Nothobranchius furzeri: one gene and its partners. Each later gene encodes a partner of the first gene's protein in a complex. Links are inferred from orthologs where the notes say so. Each region holds a gene or a part of one and is shown on either strand. Other genes may lie near its edges.

What was found.
Region 2: ing5a (region 1) and kat6a share a complex: the UniProt entries of both Homo sapiens proteins name them as parts of the MOZ/MORF complex. The link is inferred for Nothobranchius furzeri from reciprocal best matches to the Homo sapiens genes ING5 and KAT6A.
Region 3: ing5a (region 1) and jade3 share a complex: the UniProt entries of both Homo sapiens proteins name them as parts of the HBO1 complex. The link is inferred for Nothobranchius furzeri from reciprocal best matches to the Homo sapiens genes ING5 and JADE3.
Region 4: ing5a (region 1) and kat6b share a complex: the UniProt entries of both Homo sapiens proteins name them as parts of the MOZ/MORF complex. The link is inferred for Nothobranchius furzeri from reciprocal best matches to the Homo sapiens genes ING5 and KAT6B.
Region 5: ing5a (region 1) and brpf1 share a complex: the UniProt entries of both Homo sapiens proteins name them as parts of the MOZ/MORF complex. The link is inferred for Nothobranchius furzeri from reciprocal best matches to the Homo sapiens genes ING5 and BRPF1.

Annotation. Positions count from the first base shown.
Region 1 is NC_091748.1:41,162,645-41,168,708, reverse strand, and holds the start of ing5a (inhibitor of growth protein 5a), read right to left. Parts: upstream 3,834-6,064; 5' UTR 3,737-3,833; coding exon 3,700-3,736; intron 1,525-3,699; coding exon 1,453-1,524; intron 1,200-1,452; coding exon 1,033-1,199; intron 890-1,032; coding exon 778-889; intron 706-777; coding exon 606-705; intron 522-605; coding exon 386-521; intron 301-385; coding exon 239-300; intron 148-238; coding exon 108-147; 3' UTR 1-107. Other genes in the region: plekhb2 (pleckstrin homology domain-containing family B member 2), read left to right, coding at 4,995-5,031, 5,131-5,283, 5,390-5,492, 5,617-5,656, 5,906-5,986. UniProt on the Homo sapiens protein: Component of the HBO1 complex, which specifically mediates acetylation of histone H3 at 'Lys-14' (H3K14ac) and, to a lower extent, acetylation of histone H4. Component of the MOZ/MORF complex which has a histone H3 acetyltransferase activity.
Region 2 is NC_091757.1:30,187,021-30,192,646, reverse strand, and holds part of kat6a (histone acetyltransferase KAT6A), read left to right. Parts: intron 1-3,467; coding exon 3,468-3,561; intron 3,562-3,654; coding exon 3,655-3,886; intron 3,887-4,526; coding exon 4,527-4,716; intron 4,717-4,806; coding exon 4,807-5,475; intron 5,476-5,553; coding exon 5,554-5,626. UniProt on the Homo sapiens protein: Histone acetyltransferase that acetylates lysine residues in histone H3 and histone H4 (in vitro). Component of the MOZ/MORF complex which has a histone H3 acetyltransferase activity. May act as a transcriptional coactivator for RUNX1 and RUNX2.
Region 3 is NC_091756.1:62,531,452-62,537,605, forward strand, and holds the start of jade3 (protein Jade-3), read left to right. Parts: upstream 1-2,621; 5' UTR 2,622-2,782; intron 2,783-5,690; 5' UTR 5,691-5,744; intron 5,745-5,813; 5' UTR 5,814-5,824; coding exon 5,825-5,873; intron 5,874-5,941; coding exon 5,942-6,024; intron 6,025-6,119; coding exon 6,120-6,154. UniProt on the Homo sapiens protein: Scaffold subunit of some HBO1 complexes, which have a histone H4 acetyltransferase activity.
Region 4 is NC_091756.1:40,156,942-40,162,567, forward strand, and holds the end of kat6b (histone acetyltransferase KAT6B), read left to right. Parts: intron 1-736; coding exon 737-1,055; intron 1,056-1,156; coding exon 1,157-4,011; 3' UTR 4,012-4,235; downstream 4,236-5,626. UniProt on the Homo sapiens protein: Histone acetyltransferase which may be involved in both positive and negative regulation of transcription. Required for RUNX2-dependent transcriptional activation. May be involved in cerebral cortex development.
Region 5 is NC_091755.1:57,354,768-57,361,096, forward strand, and holds the start of brpf1 (peregrin), read left to right. Parts: upstream 1-2,564; 5' UTR 2,565-2,739; intron 2,740-4,092; 5' UTR 4,093-4,137; coding exon 4,138-4,874; intron 4,875-5,030; coding exon 5,031-5,220; intron 5,221-5,307; coding exon 5,308-5,595; intron 5,596-5,680; coding exon 5,681-6,198; intron 6,199-6,312; coding exon 6,313-6,329. UniProt on the Homo sapiens protein: Scaffold subunit of various histone acetyltransferase (HAT) complexes, such as the MOZ/MORF and HBO1 complexes, which have a histone H3 acetyltransferase activity.

The DNA of each region.
Region 1 (6,064 bases):
TATTGATATTGCGCGTAATCTTGCCACACAACCACTCGCGCATGCGCACAAAGATGAAAAAAGACGTCAACAAAGATCCTCGTATAACGGATGTCCGACTGAAAATCTCATTTCTTCTTCTTCTCCTGAGTGCATCTTGGACAAAACCTGCCAGGTGAAAAGAAAAGGAGAAAAAGAAACATTAAACAGGTCATTTTTGGACCATTAAAGGAACACCTGATCCGACTAATGGTCTCACCATTTCCCTTTTGGTTTTGTGGCTAGGTCCACACAGGCAAAGTGAAACCACTCGATTGGACACTAAAAGTGAAAAAGAAAAAAACGTGAGGATGACAATATCCACTTAAATCTGAGGAGAAACATGTCTGCAAAAGAAAAGGCTTACATCAGGGTTATCACAGCCAATCATCTCTCCGTATGACACCTGATGGCACAAGCAGTATGTCGGCTCATTGGGATCAACAGGCATGTCCAAAACGTCAGACGGTTGCATTGGCAGGAGAGCTTCAGTCAAGTCTGGACTGAAATTCAGACACATTACAGAAAATTAATAAAGGGTAAAGAAATGCATTCTGGGTTTTACGTATCTGCAAGGCCAAATCTACCTGTTCTTTATCTTTTTCTTTCTGGGAGAGTCTTCATCAGAACCTTTCCGCCCCCGTCCCCTGGATCCACGTTTATCTCTCTGTACGCGCAAATCGCTTTCTGCACCAAATACACCAACACGCATGTCTAACATCAAATCTTTACCAGTAGCATCTCAGTATACCAACTTACTTTTCAGCCCTCTTCCATCTGTGCTCTCATATCCACTCAACTCCAGTTTCTCCTTGAGCTCGTTCTCAAACCGAGCCAGATCTGCATCTAACCGCCGAATATGTTTGTCCACCTGAGAGGAAAACGGACCTTTTTTAACATTCAGCTACATGAATCACACCTTTTCCTAAAACGTATTCGGCAACATGAGGAAAACTCTTAACAAGCCATTAAAACAGGAAGAAAGAAAATCTGCGAGTCTTTTTCCACACCGACCATTTCATACGTCTGCATTGCAAGCTGGACTTTATCGTCGCTGAACTCTTTGCACTTGCTGTAGGCATTTTGAATCTTTTGTAGATGTTCCACTCTCTGCTGCGAAGCCAAGTTCTTCACATTCGCCACGTATTCTTCAGCCAGCTTGTCAATCTCTGCTTTCTTTTCTACACAGCAGAAAAATATATGTTAGGACCAGAGATTCCCCCGTACTGTACTTCTGCTTTACGCAAATAACAGCTGCTGATTTTCAATGGGGGAACATTTTTAACACCAACAACTATTCTGTCACTTCAGATTATACATATATTATCTCATAGATGACAACTTCTTGCAAACACAATATGCACACTGCCACAAACGTGAATGTTTAACTTCTTATACCTTTTGGATGATGAAATATAAATGTAAAAACAGCACCTTCAGTTCTATTGTCCAGGTCTCGCATCAAAGTAAAGTTCCTCTGCAGCTCACAGGGCAGGTTTTCAATACCTAGAGAGATGATTACCCAGGAAAGACATTTATTACTTTTGTTGAACATACCCAAGTTCATTTACAGCTAATTAACATAGGAAGTAGAGTTCAGATATCACTGGAAACTACGGTTGGGCATCGCGCATCGAGAATCCACGGACGATCTCCGTGAAAGATAAACGTAATCTGCAAATTGTGATCAACGCTTTCCAGAGCTGATCACACCAGCTGTCTGTGTGCAGCACCGAGTCCCCCTCCCCCCAACCGACTCGCAGCGACCAGATCCAAACAGACGCGTCCGCCGAACTTTTACTCCGTAATGTAAACTTGAATTCTTGCAGCGAAAAATGCAGCGTAGAGGAAACTTGTTAAATACGTCAACACGGTGGATTTAATAGAAGCTTTAAAGAACAAACTCTGGACGGTGTGAGGTGAGTTTGTGTCACTGCAGAAATAAAAACACACACGGAGCGTCAGCAGTCAGACGCAGCCGCTCACCAACACTCGAGCGTGAGCGTCAGAAGGGTGAATAACCTGTAGAATAATTATTATTATTAAGTCATCATGCTAGAGCAACTTTCTCTGTGGTGAACCACATCAGCTGCTGCCCTAATAAATAATAATAATAAATCACACAAAGTTGTGAACATTTTAATTTCCTTTCTGAACTATTTCTGTTGAGTTTTAATGTTTAAAATCTGTTAGATTGTTACCGACAGCAGCAACGTTTAAGTTTCTCTTCCTGTTCTGACTGAATGCTGCTGCAGCATGGAGGTGTAGTTCTCCGTCATCCTGGACATGATCATCCTGAGAGTTTTAGCTGAAGACAGCTGGACGTTTCTGGATATGTTGGAGACATTTAGCCTCTCATCCCAGAGGCTGCTTCCAGACTTTGGTTGTGGTCAGAAACAAACACACTGGTTGTGCTGCAAGTCTTTTTGTCTCCAAAACATGTTTTTGTCTAAATGAGGGTGATGTTGTTGTTCATAGAGTTAAAATTCATTTTGAAGTTAAGATTATTCCATCAAGTAGGCCCTGTGGTTAGCTGGCTCATGTAAAGCATGTCATGTCTGGAAAGAATCGGAATCGGGAATCGATAGGAACCGGAATCAAAACAAGGAATTGGAATAATTCAAAATCAAAGATGCCCAACCCTACTGAAAACCTCAGCTGATTCTGACATGTTGCAATGAATATTTTTGGTATTGAAACAAACGTGCAAATCCTAAGTTCAAAATGGATCATTTCTGACCTTCCTAGTGAAAAAAATAGAATGAATTACAATAACAAACAGGCTTTTAATTATCTCAGAACATCAACAAATCATCCACTTCTTGTTTTGATTACTTTAAGAATTCCCAAACAGAAAATTTACATTAATGAACAAATCAATAAAAGCATTTTCTGAATAACTAAGATTACAAATACAATGTAAAACACATAAAAGTCTCTTTTTTCCAGAAGGAATTTAAGTACTTCTCACCGTCAAAGACATTTGAATGAGATTGAATCTTATTGATCTAATGACACACGGGATTCCTAGTTTCCTTCATTTGTGACAAACTCTCGGTAATAACGTGATTATAACTGGAGTCAGAGTTCAAACAACTATGGTTACACAATTAAAGCTTATGGAGATGTATTCAATGCAACATTATTATTACTTTGCGCAATAGCAAAATAACTTTCAGTGGCAGAATAATAGTGTGTAACAACATCAGCTGCAGATGTGTGAGGATTTATAGTAACACAAGCTGAAAAGCACGTCAAACACCCCGCCTCGGCTGGAGTCTAAACAGTTACGGGAAACGCGGTTTTCAAAGCGATGCGCATACATCGAAGAGGTTGCTGCAAACATACAAACTGACAGAAAGTGATTTCAAATAAGTCAAAGATAAACAATATGCTCTTTATCAATAAAGTATTACTGTTGTAAATAAAAAAATAAGTTGATATTTTAGTAATAAGTGAAACACGGGAGGTTTATTACCGTGTTTATCAATGACAGTTTATTTCATCTTTACCCATCTACTTATCTCGCTGCGACAGCGAGTTAGCTGGAAAGCTAAAGTTTGCTAATGTAACAACTACTTGTCTCTACTTTTGAGCAAACTATTCGATAAAAATCAACGTAAAGCACAAAAACATTTTTGACAAGTTATTATCGATCTCGGTGCATTATCAGATACTTACTGTCCAAATAATGCTCCAAGTAAATTGCCGTCGCCATTTCTGGCTATGTATTTAGCTGCTGCGTTACTCTGCTGCTTCTGTGGTCACGGCTTCACGGGGCGCTGTTGCGTTTGTTTTACTATCCTGAGTTTGCCGCCGGGCGATGGCTAAAATGTTGGCTCCCGCCTTTCTATTTCCCCAGACCAAAATTAAACATTTTTGTTCCCAGGCAAACAGCCTAATTTCGTATTTGGTCACTTATATCTTTCTACACTCTTAACAATTCTAAAACTCAGTTCTTGTGCCAATATTTGTCCCCCACCTCTCACCATTTTCTAAATTCGATTTTATTTAAAGGTGAATTATTTGATGTTTAAAAAAACACTTTCACCGTCAATAAACAAATAAAACCACACATATTTGCATTGCCAAGAGAAGGGCAAATATTTCACGTGTGTGTGCACAGTGAGTGTGAGCTGTAACCAAGCGCACCCTTGCTGCTTTTTTGCTAGCACTTTCCACAGCTGTCAGCTGAGCGGTTACGTCATTCAAAACAACACACCTCCCTCTCCAGAGACGGGCCACTTGTGAAGATGCTCGGTGGGGCGGAGTTAACATTGACTGAAACATAACGGCCCTCCGGTCTAAACGCTGTAGTCACTTTGCTAACGGTCAGGCCTTTTCATCTCGAAGTAAGGCATCGACCTTTTGCATATCACTTCCGCGTTTTAATTATCACGAAAAAGACCGTTTGGGACAAACAGTGGAATAAAAGTAAGTATGTAAACCACAAAATAAGCTTGTTGTCTGACAGAATTGTACTGTTTTCTCACTTTGTGAACATTTTAAACTCATAAGTAGCCATGCTAGTTCACTAGCTATCACCTAACATCTGGAAACTAGCTAGCAAAAAATGCTATTTGTTTATTTCATTTAAACAATGTGTACTTATTTCATCCCATTTCATCACCTGCCATTGAGACCCATACAGTTTATGTAAATTAGAATTAAATGATTTGTATTAAATGCAGTACTATAAATAAACATAATGGCACAACATCTGAACTTTAAACACTGAACAGGAACTCTATTAAAGTCACACGGTAACTTCTTGTGCTAGCAGATCAAACTCATTTGAGCTAAGTCTGCTAATAGTGATCACTTTCTAAAAGACTTTAATTTGCCCTCCACGTGAGGCTGTTTTCTTCTGAAGGAGACTGGTCAGTTATGTTAGCAGTCATGAGGTTTGTTTTAGATGCACCACACCCAGTCATCATCTCCAGCTCTAACTGACTCACGTTGTTTAGGGGTTGCAGATGGCTATGGTAAAGAGTGGCTGGCTTCATAGACAAAGTGAGTAATTGTGTTTCTGTGTATTCAACTGTCCCTCAGTGGAAAAAAAAGGTCTACATCAAGAAATCTTGTCAAACAAGTGTTATATTTAACTTTTAGGTACCATATTACGCCGGTGGAAAAGAAACTGGTTTGATTTGTGGGCTGATGGCCGGCTCGTCTTCTACAATGATCAACAACGGCGCGACATGGAGGATGACATTCACATGAGAGTCCACTGCATCAACATCCGCAACTCTGGAGCATGCCAGGGTTTGTTTTCTTTCCACACATTTTTGCGTAAAAATCACACTTGCAGAATGTTATACACTTTTTTTGTTTAAAAAAAATCCTTCTCAACTTTTGTCCTTCCTCCCAGAACTGAACCCACCAGAGGGAAAGATACGTGATGCATTGTTCCAGATAGTGTGCAGAGATGGACGTGTCATCAGCCTGTGTGCAGACAGTGCAGATGATGCCCTGTAAGCACATTTATTTATTTATTTATTTTAACTTCTTTGCTGATAAAAGTGGATGCACAGAAATGAAATATGTTTACATTCTGAGAAAAACATAATTTATATTCTCAAACATTTTTTGTTGCAGTGCATGGACCATGGCACTGCAGGATGCCAGGATTAATACGGTGAGGTTTTGCTGCATCTGTGGGGTTCTGTATTTGTTTTGTTTGGTTAAATTCCTGAGCTAAAACTTTAAAAAGCATTTGAGTTACTACAAGTTTAAAACATTAAGCTTTAAGCTGAAGACGTGTTTTGTAATGTCTCCATCAGGGAGCCGATCATTCTCTGCTTTCATTTGTTCAGAAGCAATTGAACTCTTTTTTTTTTGTTATTGGTCGCTTGTAGAAGTCTCATTTAATTTGTTGATCATGTAGGTGGTTGCTACTCCTCAGATTGGTTTTGCAGAAGTGATTGCATCTGCTCCTCCCCCCTACTCCGAATATACTCACCCACAGGTACAACTGTTTGTAAATATGATGGGAAAATACAACAAATATCTATTATGTCATAATTCATCATTTTGAAAAGAGAAT
Region 2 (5,626 bases), on another chromosome or scaffold:
TTATAAATAGCTGTCAAAAGCGACAGACCGCAAGGCTGTGGTTGGTCAGGGCGCTGCTTCTTTTAACTTCATCAACAGCCCCACCCTTCCCCCTCAAAAAAATAAAACGAGAACCCAACATATCTAGCAACAGACGCAGAGCAGGATAAAGAAAAACTTGCAGTAAAAGTCAGATGATATAAATGTTTATACAGTCATGACTAGGGGTGTAACGGTTCACGGGGGAGTGTTGAACCGCTTCGGTTCGGCCTGTTCGGTTCGGTCCACTTGCGTACCGTTTCGTTAAATAATGAATTTTTATTTGCGTGATTTAAGTGCAGCGAATAAAAGTTCCTAGGCAAGTTTCCGCACAGACGCTATATTGAGTGACGCGTGATGGCTGCACACACCCGATCTCCGTTTAACTCTCCCAATGTCCTCATGGGTGACCCCGCCAGGAGAGTTGACCACTGAGCAGGGTTCATGTTTATCCCTTGAGGTCCACGTGGCAGGGGTGAGGAGTGAGCACCACCCCTGCCACGTGGACCTCAAGGGATAACCCATGAACCCTGCTCAGTGGTCAACTCTCCTGGCGGGGTCACCCATGAGGACATTGGGAGGGTTAAAAAAATGTTCTATTCAAATTCTGATAAATGCCTTTCAGAGCAGATCAAACCAGCTGGCTGTCGCTGCTGCTGGAGCCTGTAGAGACGCTGAACAAAGTGTCACATCACCCCTACCCCCCTTCCCTCATACTGTGCCGGGACGCAGTGGCAAAAATTTAAACAAACACAGCAGCTGAACTTTCCCCCTGGGACAACTGATGTAAAGTTTTCATCCTACAACAAAAATACGGCGCGGAGGATGCTCGTTATTTAGTGCGAGTTTTAAAGAAGAAACTCAGGGCGATGTGAGGTGGGTTTTAAGGCTCGCTGCAGAAATAACACGGAGCATCAACAGTCAAACACAACACTGTGTGAGTGCGACACTCATAGCTGCACAAATACTCTCTGAAATAAAGACATCACGCTAGATCAGCAGCCTGTGATGACACCTGGTTCTGCCCACTATAGGAGCCGCTTCAGATGTTAAATAAATATAATAATTATATACCGAAAATGTATCGGCCCGAGCGCTTCAATGACACTGAACCAAACCGAATATGATGTTGGCGTACCGCTACACCCTTACTCATGACTGAAGGAGTACAAAGAAATGCAGCAAACCTTTTATTTGTGTCAGGAAATGACCAGAAACGTGAGTTTAAAGGAGGTTACCGGATGAAGAGCTGGAGGACAAAGTTGTCGATGTTGAAAAGTCTCTGAAACACAATTTAAACCCAATACAGATGCAACAGCATTGATAGCAGGATACACCAGCAAAGCGCTACGCCCTCTGCTGTTCAATGTTGTTTTTGGCAGGCATCTTAGTTTTAGTCTTAGTCTTGATGACGGAATTGCATTTTGTCTTAGTTTTAGTCGACTAAAATTCAAAAAAGTTTTAGTCCACAAAGATATTTTTTTTGTTTTACAAAAAATGTAACCAAGTATTATTCTCTAACAAATGAATGTATAGGTCAGATGTGTACTGGAGTGAGTTTCTTATCAACATCATTCACTGCCCAGTTTTTTGTCCAGTAAAATAATAATCCACAGATCGGTATCATTTATTTTTTAACTTTATTTATAATCACTATGCTGTACAAAATTTATTGATGCAGATCTGTGCATCATTCTGTAGATTTTCACAAAAGAAATTTAGGATTTTCTTAGCAGAATGGACTCTTAAGGAGCACGCAGACTCTGTACTCTACTATTTAAATAGAAATAAAAAAAAAGTATTTTTTAAATGTATTATTTGAGTTATCAGGCCTCCATCTTAGTGTCTTTAAATGTATTTTTTTGCCACCTACATGCAGTAATGTTTTTCCATAGGACTGCAGAATTTATATAAATAACCCAGTTTGGGCTTAAACTGTTATGCTGTTGATTTGAAAAGTAAGAATGTAATTCGATATTAGAAACCAGAGATTAGATCAAATAAAACATTCGTCTTAAACGTGTTCAGATAAAACCTGTTAAAAACTGTCATTTCTTTAATTTTTCCTCCCAAAAGCATGACTTTGTCAGGAACCACACGGATAAGAAATGTGTTAGTATTACGGCCATATTTAAAAGTAGCAACTTTGTCGCTAATAATAGTGTCAGTGAGCGACTGAGCACTGCGCATTCCTGCATTAAGGAAGCGCTGAGCCAAGCTGACTGAAGTTGACTTCCAACCTACATCAGAAATCCACGCAAAAAGAGTGTTCAATCAATCAATCAATCAATCAATCAATCAATCCTTTATTAATCCCAGAGGGAAATTAGAGTTGCGGTACATACAATTCAGATATCAGACATACATGGGCAAGACACATGACAAGAATTGGTGACTGTGGTCATTCGCAACCCGAGTCGCGCTACTTTAATGGAGATAAGAGGGTTACATGAGGATTGGTTCAGGTGGAGGGAAAAAAGGCACTTCAGAGTTACCCTCCACCAGGAGGGCAGCTTTGCTCTGCAAAAAAACACCTCAACAGATATGCAACGGACTTCAGACAACACAACATAACATGAGACTCCAATGGGGGGGGGGGGGGGGGGGGCTGGGGGGGGGCTGGGCTGAGATCAGCCATCTACGGCGCTCATCTACTGTACAGTCACAGGTGGGAGGGAGATCTTGGGAGAAGCAAAGAGCACTTTGACTCCTACAGTTGATGACCTCACCAATCCGAAGGCGGGAGGGGGTAGGTTTAGTGCTACGTTGGTGCTGGATTTCTACAATCGAGTAGAACAAACTTTTGAACTTGGCCTTTAATGCCTCTCAGCAAAGCTCCTTTAATCCGAAGAACCCAAAGTCTGTCAGCAGAATTGGGTTTGGGGGTTGCCATTTACACTCCCCACCATCACCAGCATTACCAGTTTAATGGTTTATTGTAGAGCTGGTGATAATTATTTTATAAACTCTATATAACAGAATGGTTTTTGCCTTAGACATTTTTTAAAATGTTATTTATGTAATTTTTACTTTTTCCCTAATAATTATGTATTGGCTCAGAGGCTCAGAGTGAAGGGACAGAGGATGAAAACATTGTGAAAGGTAGCTCTTAGCATTCTTCCCTAATAATAATAATAATAATTAGTGATGTTACTTGGAGTAAACGCTTAACTTGTTACCATGTCATAAGTCAGTGTAACAGTCCATATCTTTATGCTGATAACTAAAGTTTGACCTGGTCTGCTGGTGGAGCAGTGTCTCTAGAGATTTGTTAATATGTATTTTGTCATAATTCAGGTGCTCTTGGGGGCCCCCTGCTGGTCCAGGGGCCCTAAGCAGCTGTTTCCTTTGATCATTCAGTACATTCAGATTCCTTGCTGGAAATCATCAAAACATATTTGTGTTGAAATGTTTTCAGTTTCATGGTTGAACTGATGTTTGTTCTGCAGGAGAAGCACTGCCAACAGAAATACAACGTATCATGCATCATGATTCTTCCACAATATCAGCGGCAGGGCTATGGGCGTTTTCTCATCGACTTTAGTAAGAACATCACAGTGCTTCCACTATTAACCAGCATCAACCTAAAACATGAGTAACTAAGTTATAACGTCTTTAATGCTCTGCTCCTTTTAGGCTACTTGCTGTCAAAGCGGGAGGGACAGCCTGGATCTCCAGAGAAGCCTCTGTCAGACCTGGGTCGGCTGTCCTACATGGCCTACTGGCGCAGCGTGGTGCTGGAGTGTCTCCACGAGCTCCATGACCGACGGATCACCATTCGCCAACTTAGCAAACTGACAGGGATCTGCCCACAGGACATCACCACCACCCTGCACAGCCTCAACATGCTGGAGCAGCGAGGAGAAAGGTCAGAGATTAATGAAGACTAGTTACTCATTATTTATCATCTGTTGCTCAAAAGCCTCTTTCGTTAAACAATGCCGCCACTTTGCCACAAAGCTGAGCCGGTGGGGAATCTTGTAGGTGTGGCGCTGGAATTGCAGCTGTGGTGCAGTGCTACGCCTGAGCCTTTGTAGGGGAAACACTGCTGTGTCGATGTTGATTTATAACAACAGTTAAATAAAGTTTTTTTCTAGTAAATATCAGGGATGATCAAAATTGGCCAATTTCTGTGAAAAACGTGATTGGCAAATTCTGATCAATGCCTTTCAGAGCCAAACATACCTGCAACAGCACCAACCGTAGATAAGTACCAACTAGCGAGAAAAGCAGCTTTTTGATCTTCTTTGTCTGCAGCTGTTTTAGTGCTTTTCGGTGCACCGCTGCTGATACAGCGCCCCTGTAGTGGCGTAACGCTGCAACTGCAGTTAAAATAACATCCATGTAGCTGGGGGCAGAGTGAAATCAGGCTGGGGAGCCACAAAATTAGCTGGAGGCGGCCGCCACGCAAATTTGAACGCAGGAAAAACCCTGCATAAACAGATTAGTCGACCACTAAATTACTCATTCAGGACTCATAATGCCGTTGGTGTTGTGTTTTCCTTCAGACTTGTGCTGGTGCGAAAGGAGAAGATAGTGGCGAACCACATGGCTCGTCTAAAAGCCCGGCCACGGCAGCTGGATGTCGACCCCGAGTGTCTCCGCTGGACTCCGGTCATCGTGACAAACACGGTGGTCTCTGAAACCGACGGAGAGGATGAGGTGGATGAGGATGAAGGAGGAGACGTTCACAAGGAGGTATGTACATTTAGTTTGTGGAATGTAGGAACCCATCTCAAATCTGCTTTACGTTATGTTTGATTATTTTCCTTTACAAAATGTGAACAGGTCAAACCAAGCCAGAAGGTCCTCCCAGCACCCTGGCAAATGCAGCCCAGTGCAGAGGATGAAGAAACAAAAGGCTTTCTGGGGTTTCCCATCAACCAGAGTTCTCCAAATTCCCCCTCCATCCGTGGTCCACCACCTGTCCTAGGGACAAGACCCCCACCACCGACAAATGGAGAACGCAGGCCACGGGGACGTCCGCCCAAAAACTTGCCTTGGGGCAAAATAAAAAACACTGCACGGGTTGGACGGCCACCCAAGATTTGCTTGGCGGAGGAGGAGGAGGACGACGACGATGAGGAGAGAACACTTGGAGGAAGAACAGTGTCATCCAGGAGCCCACTCTCTTTTTTCTCTAGTCAAGCCGAGTCTGCAGCTTTTCACCCGCTGGACATGGCCAGGCACCCCTCAATAACTCCCATGACACGGAGGGGGCGCCCCCCGAGGAAGAAGAGAGGCCCGAAGCCCGGCCTTCCAGAGGGGCCTGCAGACAGACTAACTCCGCCCTCTGTCATGGCCCGATTGAACGATGCTTCACTCATCAGTGGAAGCAGTGATGAAGAGGAGGAGGAGGAGGATGATGAGGAGGAGGAGGATGAAGATGATGATGAAGAGGGTAGGGCATGCTCCCCTCCCATTCTCACTAAGCCAGCGCTAGGGCCCAAATGCAAGGTGGGATGCTTTCCTGTTTTGGTTAAAGTTTGTGGTTTTAGGCCGTTTAAACGATCTAATGACGATGTTTCTACCTAGAAGCCTCTGAAGCGGCCTCGTTTTCGTCAGCGCAGCCACCCTCAAAGCAGCGTTGTAACAGAGACCATCTCCG
Region 3 (6,154 bases), on another chromosome or scaffold:
TTTTTTCATAGCCATATATGTCACTAGCTGTTTGAAGCTGCTCGTGTGGTTGCTGCAGATTTGTAAAAATCTGCTCATCTTTAGCTGCTGTCTTTAGTAACGTGAACACACATTGTTTGTGTTGTATACCTGTTCTGTTTTTTCCATCCCCAGAAAAGTGAATTATGAATTTTCTCAAGGAGTTTCAGTGCTAAAACTGTTCACTGCCGTCAAGCCAGCCCTCGTTCGGAAACAAGTGTCAAGCCAGCCCTCCTTCGATTTTTACGGGCGCAACTACAAGAGCAATTTCGGTGTCCTCATTCGAGAGTGTCTTTCAAAAATAAAAGCGCTCTTCTAGGATGTGTGTCTGAACGTGCTAATGAACACTTTTTCTGTATGTGTTAAATTTTGTCTAAGACAAAACTGCATTTTTAATGATTTTATCTATTAAAAGAATACTTTTAAGAAAAAGAATGAAAACGATTAAAAAAAATTCTGTAACATTGTGTGCAAGATAAAACTACATTGTTAATGATTTTATCTATTTTAAAAATACATTTAATTAAAAGAACGAACACAATTTAAACGTTTTTGTGTGAAAATTTGTGTGCAAGATAAAACTGCGTTTTTAATTATTATATTTATTTAAAAATACTTTAAAAGAATAAACACAATTTAAACGTAATTTTTTTATTAAATTGTGGGCAACATAAAACAGATTGAGTGCCATATCCTCCCCAAAGTTCATAAAGATCTGATGTGGTATTTCAAAATAATGTATCAAAAGTTGGCTCTAAAAGCAATTTTGACTATTCAATGGTTAATTTCTCAAAAACTGATTGCACAACATCATTCCACATCACTCCTAAAGTACACATAAAGCTCTACATCCTCCCCGACTTTCATAAAGATCTGATATGGCACTTCAAAATAAAGTGCAATCAAAGTTGTCAATAATGACAATTTTCACCATATTCAATGGTTTCTTTCTCAAAAACTGATTGTGCAACATCATTCCACATCACTCCTAACGTACACATTGAGTACTACATCCTCTCCAACTTTCATAAAGATCTGATGTGGCATTTCAAAATAAAGTGCAATCAAATTGGTCAATAATGACAATTTTTCACCATATTCAATGGCTCTCCAAAACGGTCTGATTGCACAACATCATTCCACATCAATCCTTAAGTACACACCGAGTACTACATCCTCCCCTACTTTCATGAAGATCTGATGTGGCATGTCAAAATAAAGTGCAATCAAATTGGTCAATAATGACAATTTTCACAATATTCAATGGTTTCTTTCTCAACAACTGTCTGATTGCGTAACATCATTCCACATCAGTCCTAAAGTACACATTGAGTACTACACCCCCCCCCCCCTATTTTCATAAAGATCTGATGTGGCATTTCAAAATAAAGTGCAATCAAAGTTGTCAATAATAACAACAATTTTCACCTTATTCAATGGTTTCTTTCTCAAAAACTGTCTGATTGTGCAACATCATTCCACATCAGTCCTACATTACACATTGAGTACCATATTCTCCCCCATTTTCATTAAGATCTGATGAGGCATTTCAAAATAAAGTGCAAAGTTCTCAATAATGACAATTTTCACCATATTCAATGGTTTCTTTCTCAATAACTGTATGATTGCGCAACATAATTCTACATCACTCCTAAAGTTCACATCTAGTACTACATCCTCCCCGACTTTCATAAAGATCTGTTGTGGTATTTCAAAATAAAGTGCAATCGAAGTTTTCAACAATGACAATTTTCAGCATATTCAATGGTTTCTTTCTCAAAAACTGTCTGATTGTGCAGCATCTTTCCACATCAGTCATAAAGTACACATCGAGAACTACATAAGCCCCCATTTTCATAAAAATCTGATGTGGTATTTCAAAATAAAGTACAATCAAAGTTCTCAATAATGACAATTTTCACCATATTCAATGGTTTCTTTCTCAAAAACTGTCTGATTCCGCGACATCTATTCTACCTCAGTCTTAAAGTACACATCGAGTACTAAATCCTCTCCGAATTTCAAAAGAATCTAATGTGGCATTTCAAAATAAACTGTGATCAAAGTTGGCCATAAAAACAATTTGGTCTATTCATTGGTTAGGTTAGACCTCACGATTAATGTGTATATATGTCGATAGTTCAGACACACATCTTAGAAGTGCGCTTTTATTTTGAAAGACACTCTTGTAGTTGCGCCCGTAAAAAGCCAATGAGGGCTGGCTTGACACCATGCTTGACACTCGTTTCCGAACGAGGGCTGGCTTTTTACCGTCATTTTAAATAAAACCACCAGCTAAATTTAGACCAATGTGATTTTTAAAGCAATGTAATGAACCCACTATTGTTTTGTAGGGTTGATAACAAGAAGATGAACTTCATGTGATTAGTCCTTTGAAGTTTTTGATTTGCTGCTCTAACTTCTAAAAATGCATCTCAGCTACGGTTTCAAACCCATTAAAATCTACAGGATCTTACATTTTCCTGTCTATCCGGGTTTGTTTTAGGTTTTGCGTTTGGTAGTAATTTGTTGAAGAAATCCACGTTAACCGGTGAGGTTTAGGACCCGGAGGAACGAGCGGTACAATAGAGCTCTTGTGGCGTGTTGGTGGGTGGGCTGCTAGGGTTAGAGATTCCCACTGTGTGCTGGGATTCAAACTCGTTTTAATCTAAAGCTGGGACCACGGCCCATAAACCTGGATGTCTCTGCGGTCTGTATGACCCATTGTGTTTGGAACCAAGCGGAAAGCGAACATGAACTGAAGGTAACGCGGGAGGAATGTGAACAATATGCGCGTGTGTTCAGTGTGCCAGGATGGTTATTCAGGCCACAGGGCCTGGTCCTTTTCAGCTATCCCAGGAACATGTATGTCCCTCCACCCTACAAATCGCAATACCATTGTGTTAACTCTTGTATTGTAGCATTTAGTTATCTTCTTTTGAGAACTAAAAATGGCTGAGCTCAAAAATATTCTCTTTAATAGCTGTAGGAAGTGACATCTTTGTACGGTGGTGGCGCCATGTTTGATTTCCTCGCCTGCCTGCCGAGGGCCTGTGAGTGTTTGGCGCCAAGACTTCCCCCCAGACAAAACTAGCGTTACTTAAAGCTTGAGTACTTTGCCTGTTGGACTTGTAGCTCCATGAATCCGCCTGCGACTAAATGCATGGCATTTAGAACAACGCAGTGGTGTTATGAGAGAGAGAAGTAAACGTAGTGGAAACGATTTAATCGCTGTTTCTGATGTCACATCCGTACCGTAGCAAGCAAGCTGGAGTATTTTACTGGTGTTGTAGCGAAAAATGCACCCCTCTCGCAGCGTCTCCCCTGCCAGGGATTTGTGACTGTTATTAACAGTTTGGTGACTTTATCTCGTTCCTGCCTGAACAGCTTGCCTTTAAAACCACTCCCTATACACAACAAGTCTATATATCACAACAAAAAGTCAAATGTGTCCATGTTTTATGCTGGAGCAATAGTGGCACCCCATTAATCATTACTCCTGGCTTTGTTTCAAACAAAAACCTTCACTTCTGCTACAGGGGTTCTTTCTGCCTATGTTACCAGCTCAGTTAGCTGGTTCTACTGTGACATTGCCATCAGCTAACACAAAAATGTCCCTAACAAACCTTTAGGTCATAGTAGCTGAGAGGCATCCACGATACACTGCTCATTTTACTTTTGTATTCTTTGAATGAAAAATTCCAAACGGTGGTTATGTTATAGAGTTGACATTTAATACATGAAATACTTATTTGGACTAACAAATGCAAAAAAAAAAAAAAGATGTAGTTTGAAGCCTAATTCTCGTAACTTTTGTTTTTGTACCAGATGTTTGTAACACAAACATATATTGTGTGTCTGCTCTGTCTTCTCAATCCCCAGTGAGTTGTGGCCGATGGCTGCTTATACTGAGCCTGGGACATCAGTATCTCAATAGATAGAGCGGGTTGTCCAGTAATCTGAAGGTTGCAGGTTCAATCCCGGCTCCTACCAGAGAATGCTGCTGTTGTGTCCTTGGGCTAGACACTTAACCTAGCTTGCCTACTGGTGGTTGTTGGAGGGACCAGTGGTGCCAGTGTATGGCAGGCACTTGGCTTAATGAACTGACCTGTATAGGAATGTTTACTTTGAAGTGTCTTGAGACGACTCATGTCATGATTTGGTGCTGTATAAATGATCTCAGTTTAATTGAATATATGTACATGGTAGGGCTGGATGATATAGAAAAAAAGGAAATCAATAAAAAAAATTTATATTGATCGATATTGATAATTATGAAAAAAATATTAAAACAATTGTAGAAAATATATTTTACGTGAAGCCCTGGCCATTTTCTTCTTGGTATTTTTATTTTTCTCCACCTCTTCTGGCTGAGACATCTTGCTGCGGCTGCCTCATGCTCTGTTTTGGCTTGAGAAGGGGAGGGCCCGGTGCCTGAGTCTGTGGTTTTGATTGGTTAGGAGTAAGTAGTTAGTCTAATATGCTGCTACCCGATGGGTATAATGAAAAAAGGAAACTTTTTATCGAAGTTTTATCGACCTATTTATTTTTTTCTTATCGCATCACACGTCAATCGATAGACATATTGAACTATTGATTTATCGTTCAGCCCTAGTACATGGTATGCTTAAGATTTCATGGTAAAAAGAAGTTGTGGTTAGCGAAGCACCAATAACAAAATCCTAGTAATTGGACTCTGCCAATATCAGGGTGATTGGCTAAAATTTTAATGACCCTCCGGTCTGTGAATGTCACTTTGCTAAGCAGTGATTAAAAAAAAATCTTTCTCTGTTAATTCACCATCAGTAAAAATCCGTAGGGCAAGAATTAGTCATTTGCGTCAGCTTTCACCAACCAGGATTGGTGCATCTCCTCGTTGCTTTGTCTTTAAGCTTTAGTGTACTAAAAAAAAAATAATATTAAAAAATTACATTTAGTTGCCTAATATTTAAATAATTCTCATTGAAAGCCCATTCACAGCCTTACTCATTGGAAGTTCGCTCATGAGATCATTTTATTCTATGACTAAACACTGAATGTTTACAATCAGTAATCAATTTCCCTCTGGGATTAATAAAGTATTTTTGAATTTGAATTGAATCCCATATGTGTCGACCAGCAGCGGTTTTGGTGTTTTAGATCTCCTGGGCCATTTTGTTGCAGAGGTGGAGCATAAACAGCCATTACGTTGGTGGGAATCAGTCGATTAGGCGTTCTTCTCTGGATTCTATGTTTTACTTTACTCTGGCAGATACAGGACCTGGCCGTGTGCCTCCTCCTCCTCCTGCTGCTGCCCCTCCTGCCCTCATGGGGAATGTGAGGCATGTCCTGTCTGTTAAAGCAGCTCACTGTATGTGGGGCTACTCTGGGTCTGAGTCCCTCAGCATTTTGAAACCATAATGAGTTTACCCGTGGTCCTGTGGGCTGAAGGTAAACACCGCTGGCTCGTGGTGTTGTCTCTTTTTCACTTCCATTCATCTGAATTACGGCTGTTGCCCAAATTATGTTAGATTATTGAGAGTAATTCGGGGAGTGTTTTTTTCTCTTTATATTTTAGTAAATGTCATGAAGAGGCAATAAATCTTCATCCTGATGCAAAGTATGATGACAGAATAGATCCTTGTTTTGTATTAAAGCTATTTAACTGACTCACTTGTATTTTTCTTTTGCAGAGTTACAACAAGGTGGTTTATTATTCGTCAGAATTCATTAGAATGAGGTTTATGGTGAGTAACGTTTTGTGATGGTTACCGTTGGAATGAAAAGGCCTCCTGTAATAATTCCATTTTCTTTAGGACTTATCAGGATGAAACGTCTCAGGTCGTCCAGCAGCAGTGACAGCTCAGACAATGAGAGTGAGTCGCTGCAGGGACTGAAACTACATCTGACAGCTTCTTTTCACTTACAGTTTGTTTTCTGTCAGGTCCTTCTACCTCCTTCTGCTCATTTAACAAGTATTGCAGCAAACCTGGAACCCCCGCCTCGAACCCAAAGAAGCCGGCTGAAGTAAGATTGGTTTTTGTTTTAGTTTACTGTGTGTTAATAAAGTCAGGACCAAAGGGTTAACAGTCTGTGTTTCTGGTTTTGGCTCACTTCCACAGGTGTTCAGAAAAGACCTGATAAGTGCTATGAAGAT
Region 4 (5,626 bases), on another chromosome or scaffold:
TCTGCAGTAAAGTGGAACCACACAGCTATCTAAATATTCCCCTCATTAAAGAGCGTGTTGTGTACCGGAGTGAGATGGAACGGTTTGATAAATATTCATAGATGTGGTGTAGGGTTCAATGGCTTCCTCCTGTCATCTGGAGCCTCCCCTGTGAGCCCTCGACAGTAGATAATGGATTGTGTTTTCACTGCTGGTGTTGAGACTTTGCAGGCTAAACCTTGTACTATTGTCAGTGGTCATGGTTAATTTACCGCCCTCTTGTGTGCTTCTTACATCTGTTCTGTCTAGATGGCACTGCCCCCTTGTGCTGCAGATAATATTACAGCTGACTTGGTGATGTCAGCGAGGTCTGTTCGAGAACAGCAGCACAGAAACCAGAAAAAGAATGATATGGAGTTTATTTAGTGCATTAGTTACAGTATTGATTTCACATTCTGCTTGTTGACAGTTCTGAGGAGGAAAGCGGTCGCGTCGTAGGCATCCGGTGGGAAACAACTAAAGAATGTAAAATATAGAGTGTGGTTTCTGCTGGCTCTGCCGGTCTCATTCGTGGTTTCCCACACCAGGCTGCATTGCTTTTAGTCTTACAGTGGGGTTTAAACCTCTAGCACACAACCCCTGGGCTGGTTCCTGCTGTATCCTCGTGGAGGTCACACGCCTAGTGCCCTAGTTTCAGTCATTCAACTGCAAACAAGGTTTTGGTCTGTTTTCATTGCTTGTTTTATTTGCCTTTCAGAGCGCGATTGTTCTCAAGAAGCGAGGGCGCAAAAGGAAGCGAATAAACAGCAGCGTAACGACAGAAACCATCTCTGAGACCACGGAGGTGTTGAACGAACCGTTCGACAACTCGGACGAAGAACGCCCCATGCCCCTGCTGGAACACACGTCCAGAATGGGCGAGATGGACGAGGAGGATGACGACGATGACGACGAGGATGATGAAGAGGAGGAAGAGACACAAAAGTACAAGACATCAATTATACAGATGAAACGCCGGAGAGGTCGCCCAAGGCTTGAGAAGAATGCACACAAAGATCTTGACCTCTGGAATGAAGGTATCTTAAGTTGCTATTCACACATATTTTTACATGATTTACCTTCATCACCAACAGGACAAGACGGTGAAGCTTTTGTTGTTTTGATTTTCCATCTGTAGGAGCTGACGTTGTCTCCAAAAGACCCAGCAGACCTCGTCCAGTGAAAAGGAAGAAAGGCTGGCCCAAAGGGGTTAAACGAGGTCCTCCTAAATGGAGACTCAAGAATGAACGAAAGATGGGCTTCAAGCTGAACCTCTACACCCCCCCTGAAACCCCCATGGAGGCCGAGCAGCACCATATTCGCATTGAGGAGGCAAAACACGAAACAGATCAGGATATCAGCGCAGATGAGGGTAGAAATGTAGGCAGAGGCTTGGCTAGTCCGGATTTAACGCAGGACGGGCTCCAGTCGGAGCCTCCAAGCCCTGCTGACCACGGCTCCCAGACGTCAAGCTCTCCTGAGGGATCACCGGCTGCTTCTCCTGTGTGTTCTCCTGCTTCTCCGGTGTGTTCTCCTGCTGCATCCGTTGAAGCTGTCTCACCGAGCCCTGCAACTCGAGCGGACTCTCCAGAACCACCGGAGGACAACCAGCGGGAGAGTGGACTCAATCAGGACTCACCAGCCAAAGATGTGGAGCTCAGCACCGAGGTCTCTGTATCGCCGGAGAATGACAACGAGGAAAACGATGAAGAGGAGGAGAAAAGAGCTCAGCTAGAGGATCAGGATGCTGATGATGAAGATGAAAGTCACAGCAAGGCAGCAGTGCCAGAGAGCAGCGCTGAAGAGTCAGAACAAAGTTCAAAGGAGACACCAAAATGCACCCAACCTTTTTTAGATCCAAAAGAAGACAATGGCTCTGAGTTGAGTCAGCAGGTTGCTAAAGACCTCTGTAGTGAGAAAGAAGCAGTTAGTGCTGCAGAAAACCTGCAGGATGGAGTAACAGAGAAGACAGAAGCAACACCTCCGCCTGAAGATGCAGCCGTCGCTTCAATAGCGGCTGCAGACTCCGATAATCCTGCAGAGTCTGAGTCCGAGGAGGAAAGCACACCCAGTCCTCGTCCTAATCAGCCACCTCTTCTGCCTGCAGGGAGTACAAAAATCAGTCCCGTGCTGAGAGAGGATCACCCCGTCTACACGGAGATTGACTCAGAGACTGTTCAAGCTGTTCAGTCCCTGACGCAAGAAAGCGAGGGAGAGAACGTTTTCCAGGACTGTGTGGAGAGCCAGGAGCCTTGCAGGAATCTACAGAGTTTTGCCCACGTGGCCCAAAGCCCTCAGCTCACTTCGCTGGACGACTGTCCTCAGTCAAACCACAGCAGTCCCCTTTCCTCGGCACAGTCCCATCCCAGCCAGTCCGTACGCTCCGTTAACAGCCCTGCAGTATCCATCATGGAGAGCGGCTACACTCAGATCAGCCCTGATCACAGCGCCATCTCCGTGCCCTCGCTTCACAACATGGAGACGAGCCCCATGATGGATGTGCCGTCTGTGTCCGATCACTCCCAGCAGGTGGTGGACAGTGGATTCAGTGATCTCGGCAGCATTGAGAGTACCACAGAGAACTATGAGAACCCCAGCAGCTATGACTCCACCATGGGGGGTAGCATCTGTGGCGCAGGTCCCTCCCAGAACAGCTGCTCGTATGGCACTATCCCCCCCAGCGGTCTGCCCCAGAGCAGCTGTGCTGTAAGCCAACAAATGGCCGCCGTTAACCCTGGCAGCTGTGGGATGATTCAGGCGAACAGTCTGAGCTCGCCGCCACATTGCAACGTCAAGTCGCCGCAAGGCTGCGTGGTGGTGGAGAGGCCTCCCAGCAACAGCCAGCACAACCAGCACAGTCAACACAGCCAGCGCAGCCAGCACAGTCAACACAACTCCCACAGCAGGCACGGCCCACACAATCAGCACAGCCAGCACAATCAGCTAACCCAGCATAGTCAACACAATCCCCACAACCAGCATAGTCACCACCACAATCACCACCCGCAGCACAATCCGCTCAGCCAGCACAATCAGCACGCTCAGCATAGTCTTCACAATCAACACGGTCATCACAGCCAGCAGCAGCAGCAGCAGCCCATGGCTCAGTGCGCCATACCCACCAACTTCACCACCACCGTGCAGCTGGCAGACATCCCCGAGTCTGGAAACCCAAACTTCGCCCTCTATGAGAGGATGAACCGCCAGGGGGAGTACGGCAGCGGGCACTACGCTCAGTCGTCAGGCCTGAGTTTGGCCAAGCTGCAGCAGTTTACCAACACGTTCATGGACCACTCTCACTCTTTGCCTTTCAACCACTCGGCTTCACACCCCATACCCCACACCTCATACGCAAACACCCCGTCACTCTCGTCACAGCACTCCAGCCTGGTATCTTTGTCCCAGACCCCACACAGGGTCCCCAACCCACAGGTGCAGGCCGCCATGACCCCTCCCCCAAACCTCAGCTCGCCGCCACACATGATGCTCCAACCCAACATGGGCATTCCGCCCTCGCAGCGGATGCCCCAAATGACATCGAAGAGTCACATCTCTTCACGCTCCAAGTCGGCCTCGTTGTCCCACCACCACCACCACCAGCAGCAGATGTACTCCCGGCCACCACAGACTGTCGCCATGCAGGCGCCATCCAGGACGCTGGCTGCCATGCCACGCATGAACATGAGCATGAACATCATGCCGGCGCCAGGCTACAACGTCAACTCCATGAACATGCCCTCCCTCAACGCTATGAATGGCTACAGCATGAGCCAGCCTATGATGAACAGTGGCTACCATGGCAACCATGCCTATATGAACCAGTCACCCCAGTACTCTATGCAGATGGGCATGATGGGAACACAGCCATACCCCCAGCAACCCATGCAGGCTCCGCCACATGGCAACATGGTGTACTCTCCAGCTGGTCACCATGGTTACATGAACACGGGCATGTCCAAGCAGTCCCTGAAAGGGCCTTTAATCAGGCGGTAACTCTCCGCAGGACAGAGCTGCCTCTTCCCGCGTGCTTTTGGCCGTTGGAACGATGCACTGATCAGGCCTTGTTGTTCCGTTTTCTGGTGTCCTTTTCAGTTACGTTTGTTAATTAAAAACCAGCAGCAGCACTTGTAAAGAATGCAAAAAGTTTCATCAGTGAGTTCACTTTAAAGCTAACGTTAAAAAGTATTTTTGTTCCTCCTGATGGGAAGCCTTACATCGTTATGATGAAAATCTATTTAATTAGTGTTAGCGTCTCTGATGTGTCTTTAGGCCAGGCGGGGTCAGAGCTCGGACGTAGAGATTTCATCTGTGGTCTTGCAGTCGTGTAGCAGCCTCAAATGAAGCCATTCAATGCTACAAGTGGAGAATAGTGGCTGTTTGAACCTGTTCAGTGTACCTGTCTAACAGTGCTGACCTTTAGTTTGTACTATACTCATGCCTTTGTATATTTAAATTATTGTACTTATTTTGTAAAGTGAGAAAAAGCATGCTTCAGTCTCCGTTAGTGACAGTGCATTTGAGTAGTACTGTACAAGTGTTGTGCTTAATAGCAAGCCATTTAAAAGTATCTGGCCTTTATTAGGTATCCCTCCACAGGGACAAAGATAAAACTATATTTTGTTAAATCAAATAATGTAAAAAAAATGTAAACTTAGTCCTGTTTTCTGTTTGGTTTGAGAGGTTTTATTGCGATGTGTGTATAATTCTGAAGCCTTTTGTAACGGATCTCCTTGAGGCAGCTTTCTGTTTGATAAAGCAGACTGATTTCTGTCAAAAGAGACTAAAAACAAAGCATATCTCAGTGTTTGTACCCTGAAAATTCTAAAACATTTCAAAAGGTCCGGAAGTGTGGCAGAATTTAAAAGAATTAAATGATTATAACAACGAATAACGATAAAGAAGATATAAACTTAGTCCAAAGTCGATATTTTACATAATGCCTTTAAAGCTACGTTTTCATTCCATCTGTAGATTTGTTTTCTATCTTTATAAAATGTGGAATTTATATTTTACCGAATTGTAGAAGAATAGAGCCTGTGAATAGACACAAACTAAGCTAATGGATTGCATGTAAAACGCAACTTGTACTTGTGTTTTGTTTTATTTTTTCTTGTTAATATTGCTCTTTTGTAGCCTTTGTACCTGTACAGAGTTGCTGGTGAGAACAGGGGGAAATATCCGGCTATGTGCACTCAAATCGAACAGAATGACATTCTTGTATTTATGACTTTTCTCCTTTTGTCAGTCACTTAAAATGCTGTACATTTTAGCATAAGAATAAATTATGATTGACCATGTACTTGAACGTTTTTCTTTGACATGAATTCTTAACACTGTTTATTTAGTTGAAGGTATTTGACATTATTCTCTTATTTTATTCCTTTAAAACCATACTATGCAATTTATTTTCAGATTTTTAAATCATTGTCTTGAGCCAGAATGGGCTAAAATAACCCTTTACAGGGTTAATAAAAAGTTACTCAGACCCTCACCGCCCTCTGTGGCCAGAATATCGCATTTGCAACTTCAGAGTGCTGTGGAATTGTAGGAAAAAAACAGCTGACATACCTGGCGTTCCAGCACATTTCCTGCATGTTTTAGATCATGA
Region 5 (6,329 bases), on another chromosome or scaffold:
GTGTGTGTGTGTGTGTGTGTGTGTGTGTGTGATGTCTGAATACCTTGTGCTTTTTGGCTTTGTTCCTACATAAAATTTGTCAGTGTGTGTCCTATCTGGTCACTACAGCTAAATTCACACGGTTGTCAGTTGCTTCTGTTTTAACTTTAGGTTTTATCTATTACACTACTTTGGGATCCAACACTAGTGTTTTCAGATTAAGGAACAGAAATTAATTCATGATTAAAATATTTGCAGGAGTGCAGTGCCTTGAACATGGGTTAATATGTGTATTTCCTTCTTTAAAGCAGAACATTTCTACATTCAAGTTCTTTTGAAAGTATGGTTTTTGTTTTTAATGCCAATTAATCATTTTTGTTTACATGTAAATGCCCTTGTAAAACTGCACTATTACTACAGTATATATACTTTTATTTACACAACAGAAATATGTTTCAACTTGTGTTTACTTTCCACCCCTTTGACCAATGGAATGCCATCTAGATGAGATGTTCTGATGCCTTGCATAAACAATTATTTGGACTGAAACGGTTACTGGAATGAATACTTGCCAGCAGCCAAAAACAACTGGTTCCGGTCAAATGGTTCAGTGGGACAGAGCCTCGTTTTGATTGGATGCGCATGAGCTGGCAGTGTTATAGGGGATGGGGAGTGTTCAGAGCCATATATACTGTACATAATCATTTTTTACAGTAGATGCCTCTGGTTGTGTTTTGATCAGAATGTAGCAAAACCATGTGAAAGCTTGAGGCCTAAAAGTGCAATTTAACCCCTTTTCATAGAGCTTTGACTGTGGCCTTGGCACAAGCCTTATCTGTGATGTGTGCAACAGGAGAACACTGAAATGTTAAAGTTCCAAGTCCAAGCAAGAGACAGAAGTTACCAGGCAAAGTATAATTACTACAAACCACCTATCTGACTCTTTCAAAAGTTCTTTCAACTTGGCTAATACTCGGTGCACACTTATGTAAAAGGTTTTGTGCAATCACCCATTAAATTGGATGTTTTTTCCTTTTGTGATTTGTTGTTTTAATGCTGCACTTTACCAAGGTATTACAGTTGTGCATTTTGTTCCCATATGATGGTACAAAATACTAGTTTTCAATGTAGCAAAGAAGTGTTATTGCCTTGCTACAAGATGTGTTGATTATTTTATGAGCTGTTTGTGACGATAGCCTAACCTGTTTTATTTTGCATTTATTTTCAACATTGTATTGTGAAATTAACATGAAACTTGATGTGGGAGATTTGCACAACATATTGTCTCCATTTATTCTGTTGGGAGTTCCTTCACTGTATATAACAGGTTTCACCAAACTGTACTTTTTACCACTGACAAGCATGGCCAATATTTTCATGATCCGCAAAGCATAGGAACAGGAAAAGTGTTAAAAGTTTCAAGATCTCACATCTTCACCACACAAATGATTTCAGCATCCCAGTCCTGCCAAAGCTGTGACCTGTATAGCTTGTAGTATTTGTACATTTTATTTTGACTGTTGGAAGATAGCATTTGTGGAGCCGAGGTCACTTTATTGTATATTATTCCATCAATTCGGTTTGAATTGGACTTTTATAGGATATTATGCAGAGTCTTCTGCTTTGGTGAAATATTTCCAATTGTAAGAGATTTCTGTTCTCTGTAACTTGTATCTGGTATGTTCCACTTTTCCTAGCTGCTAACTGGTTGGAGAGCAGAGGAGGAAATGATGAATACAGGCATATTCATTTGGATGTAGTGATCATACGGAGAGCTGTAATGAGCGGAGGAGGAGCATTTCTGACACTGTTCCTCTGCACACCTCACTCCTTTTTGGAAATCATTGTCCTTATGATTATGCTCTGATTATCTTTGGCTGGTATTTAAACTGTGTGGGTTGCTTTTGCCTGCTTACCCCACTTTGTCCTGCTGCATTCTTATCACAAACTGTATGTTGAGAGAGAGAAATAAATATTTTGTGCTTGATGGTTTTGATTAATTATTGTGTGCACACCATTAGTGTAGCTGTTAGTCAATGCTGTTATAATTTGACAGCAGGAAGTCGTATCTTATTTACCTCTTCGCAGTTTTGATTTCATTGAATAAAACGATTTACACACTTTTTATTTTAAGTAAAGTTTAAACAATAAATTTCTGAGTAAAGGAAGATGATCATCTTTGATGGACAGACTCGTATACAGAATGATACTGGACCAAATTTGGAGTTTAATTTGTAACATTAACTACAACTTGTGTAAGAAAAGACAAATTAAAACTGAAAATTAGAGCCTGTGAATTACTTTCACCAAATCACTAATGAAGTGTAGGCAGACCAGAGAAGCCCTTAGGTTGGATGGTGATTTTGTGGAGCCGCCCACTCTACTTCTAACAACCAATCACGTAGCGTATTCAAATCCAAGCACCAATCAGAGCAGAGAGTTCAGCCCACTGCGTCCCTCCGTCTGATCCAATCTAAAAGCAGTCAAGCAAGCCTGTTTTGCGTGGCGAATGTGTCAATCCGCCTCCACGGCTAAGCGTTACAGTAATGGTTGCCCCTTTTGTTCAGCCGATTTACTAAATTATTCCCCACACAATGAAATTATATGGACGCGAAATTGTTCCATGAAAACGTTTCAATGTACCTATGCTTTCCGTGGCCTCATCTGGGACTATCTAATGAATTAAAATCGATCTGCAAGCCGTCTGAGCTGCTGTCTGAGGTGTCCGATGCGCGCAGTTTGCTTGAGGAACGTGCAGTAGTAAGTGTTTATAACGTTAGTAGCCGGGATATGTAGTGCTATTTACTAAATGGTTGCATTTGCGCATATATTGACATTCGGGAAATGTGAGAAGACACGATTCTGTGGTTGTTGTAATCCACCATAATAGCCCAATGTGTCCAGAAAACAAAGTGACGTTGGTGCAAAATAAGCGCTACAAAAACAAATAGCTGTATAGTGGTGACCTAACGTAAATGGTTCTTAGTTAAATTTGGTCAAAAATACCGTTTTCCTGTGGCAAAGCCTATAAAATAATAATGTTACGCTCTTATTTTGCTACCTTGTGTATGGAATCCACAGGGTGAGGTCAATATGGAGGGAAACGCTGGCTCTGAATAATTAATCAAACTGCAGTCTTTCTAACTTAAAAACATTAATTGGGTCATTTTATTTTCATATCAGTTGTATCAAAATGCGTTGTAGCGCTAACATAACATCTGCCTTTGTTTAGCTAACATTTGAGCACAGCTATAGTTCAACATTATCAACAAAATGGTACACCGGGTTAATATTATTACGGATAAAAGAATCCTCGATAAGAAAAATAATGTTTTGTGGCCTCGTGTTTGTGGAAACCTTGTTATTTGTGCTGTGTAGTTTGAAAAGGGACCAAATGTTGTTTACTAGCAGTTGTTAGCATGCTAGCTAATTGCGCCAGCTACAGTCATTGTTTGGGGGAAGCATGCTAACGTTAGCTGAACTAAAAGCATTATGTTTGAAGAGTTCCCTGCTAGCTAGCTATCATATATCCCTCTCTCTCCCTCTGTCTATTTCTACATTTGCAGTCTTATTTGTTTTATTCGATTACTCCAAACATGACAGAAATTCGTTAGGATGTTGTCTTAAAGTGCACCTGTTAGTGGGTTCATATATTTCCCTCTGGGAATTGTGTTCACATTTTATCCATTTACAGAAATATCCCAACAGCACTGTAGGGACACGTTATTACAAGTTACATGCGTGGAGCAATGCCATTCAAACAAAACTGATCTTACATGAAATTATCGTTAAATACTGTGGGTCATTATTGCATGGAACTATTTAGATTAAAATATTTTCTGTTGTGCTTGTTTTATTTTGTCTAGTGTAAAACCCTTTCCCATAAGTGATTTTTACTCACATTTGTCTCTTCAGCCTGGCAGAGTGAATATTACATTTTTCTCCAAAAGATTTAGTAGAATGAAGAGTTTAAATGCATGTATTTAATACGCAAGTAATTAAATTGTGTAAAAGCAGATAACTACTCTCAGAACTCTTAAGTAATTTTGTAGTTTAAACCCACAGCTTTTAATTTCTTGTCTCCTCATTGTTCCCACTTGTGTTCTATTCCAGATGTAAAGTTAAACCACACCTGGCCCTGAAGAGGCTGCTGGCGAGATGGGACTAGATTTTGATGTGAAGACATTCTGTCACAATCTGCGAGCCACCAAGCCGCCGTATGAGTGCCCTGTGGAGACTTGCCGGAAAGTCTACAGGAGCTTCAGTGGCATTGAGTATCACCTGTACCATTACGACCACGACAATCCAACCCCTGCTCAGGCCATGCCCCAGAAGAAGAGAAAAGGACGGCCTCCTCGTGCCTCCCTGGCTGGCTCAGGGGATACGGATGATGGTGGCGGCAATGGAGGACCTGGTCTTGAAGGGACCACGCCAGGTAGCCCCAACCGGTCAGAGCACTCCCAGTCCCCTGGAAGAGATGCCATGACCTATGCCCAGACGCAGCGCATGGTGGAACTAGAAATCCAGGGACGCATTCACCGCATTAACATCTTTGACGACATTGATGTGGTTTCAGAGGAAGACAGTGATGCAGAGGATGCACCACCGTCGGGAACTGGTAGCTGTGGGGGAGGGGTGTGTAACGGTAGTGACAGTGGAGCCGGAGGCAGCGAAATAGGAGGAAGCGGTAAAGACCGTTCAGAAATTCCGTCCTCAAATGGTGGAAAGGCCACCCCAAAGACTGGGAAGCACAAGAGTAAAGATAAGAAGAAGGATGGTTTATCTCACCATCACAACCCTCAATCTGGTCTTGCAGTCAAGCTCCCAGAAGCCGTGTTCAGAGAGCTGGACCAAGAGAGGCCCGATGCCCCACCCCGGCCTTTATCCTACTACAGGTTTAGGACTAAAATGATTATTTCATTTTATACTTGTTGTTTTGTTTACTTATATGAAAAAGTTCTGTAATATTGTCTTTCTACTGTGTTTTATTAGAAAGCTTCACTTCTCTATTTGACTCCTTTGTCTTTTTGTTATGTAAACTTGGACTTCAGGTATATTGAGAAGTCTGTGGAGGAGCTGGATGAAGAGGTGGAGTATGACATGGATGAGGAGGACTACATCTGGCTCGGCATCATGAATGACAAACGGCGACGTGACAGCGTGACGCCCATCCCTCAGGAGGTCTTTGAATACCTCATGGACCGCTTAGAGAAGGAGTCCTACTTTGAGAGCCACAACAAGGTACCTGTACTTATCTGTAGGGGCAAGAATAGTTCACTCACTGTAACGTAGCTGTTGACTGATGCATTCTGTTACTCCTCCCCTCAGGCAGACCCTAGCACCTTGATTGACGAGGACGCCGTCTGCTGCATCTGTAATGACGGCGAATGCCAGAATAGCAATGTAATTCTGTTTTGTGACATGTGTAACTTGGCCGTGCACCAAGAGTGCTACGGGGTGCCCTACATCCCAGAGGGTCAGTGGTTGTGTCGGCGCTGCCTTCAGTCACCCAGCAGAGCTGTGGACTGTGCTCTGTGTCCTAACAAAGGAGGAGCTTTCAAACAGACAGACGATGGACGCTGGGCTCATGTAGTGTGTGCCCTCTGGATCCCGGAGGTAAAAGCATACACTACTACTTACATCCAATTTGTCCTTTCTTTTTTATTTAGTCATTTAAGTAACGTTTGCTGCCATTTCTCAGGTCTGCTTCGCTAACACAGTCTTTTTGGAGCCGATTGATAGCATCGAGCACATCCCTCCTGCACGCTGGAAGCTCACCTGCTACATCTGCAAACAGCGCGGCTCAGGCGCCTGCATCCAGTGTCACAAAGCTAACTGTTACACAGCGTTCCACGTCACCTGCGCTCAGCAGGCGGGGCTCTATATGAAGATGGAGCCTGTCAGGGAGACCGGGGCAAATGGGACCTCCTTTAGCGTCCGCAAGACGGCATACTGTGACATCCACACTCCCCCAGGATCCGCCCGACCTTTAGGAGGAGTGGGCGGTGCCAGCATGGGGTCGTCTAACAGCGAAGGGGAGCTGGAGGACGACGATGAGCCCAGCCTTGGCCAGGACGAAGACTCCAAGGGGTGGAGTTCTGAACGAGCCAAGAGGGCAAAGGCCAAATCCAGGCTGAAGATGAAAAGAGCAAGGAAGATCTTAGCAGAGAGGAGAGCCGCTGCCCCAGTAGTCTCAGTGCCGTGTATTCCTCCCCACAGGTAGGTGTGTTTTAATAAAAGCATCTTTTGTAGTATATGCAGTTGATAAATTATACAAACAAAATAACTTTCTCAAGTGAGATACACTTTAAAGCGGTGTTTACTTTTCTCCAGGCTCAGCAAAATCACTA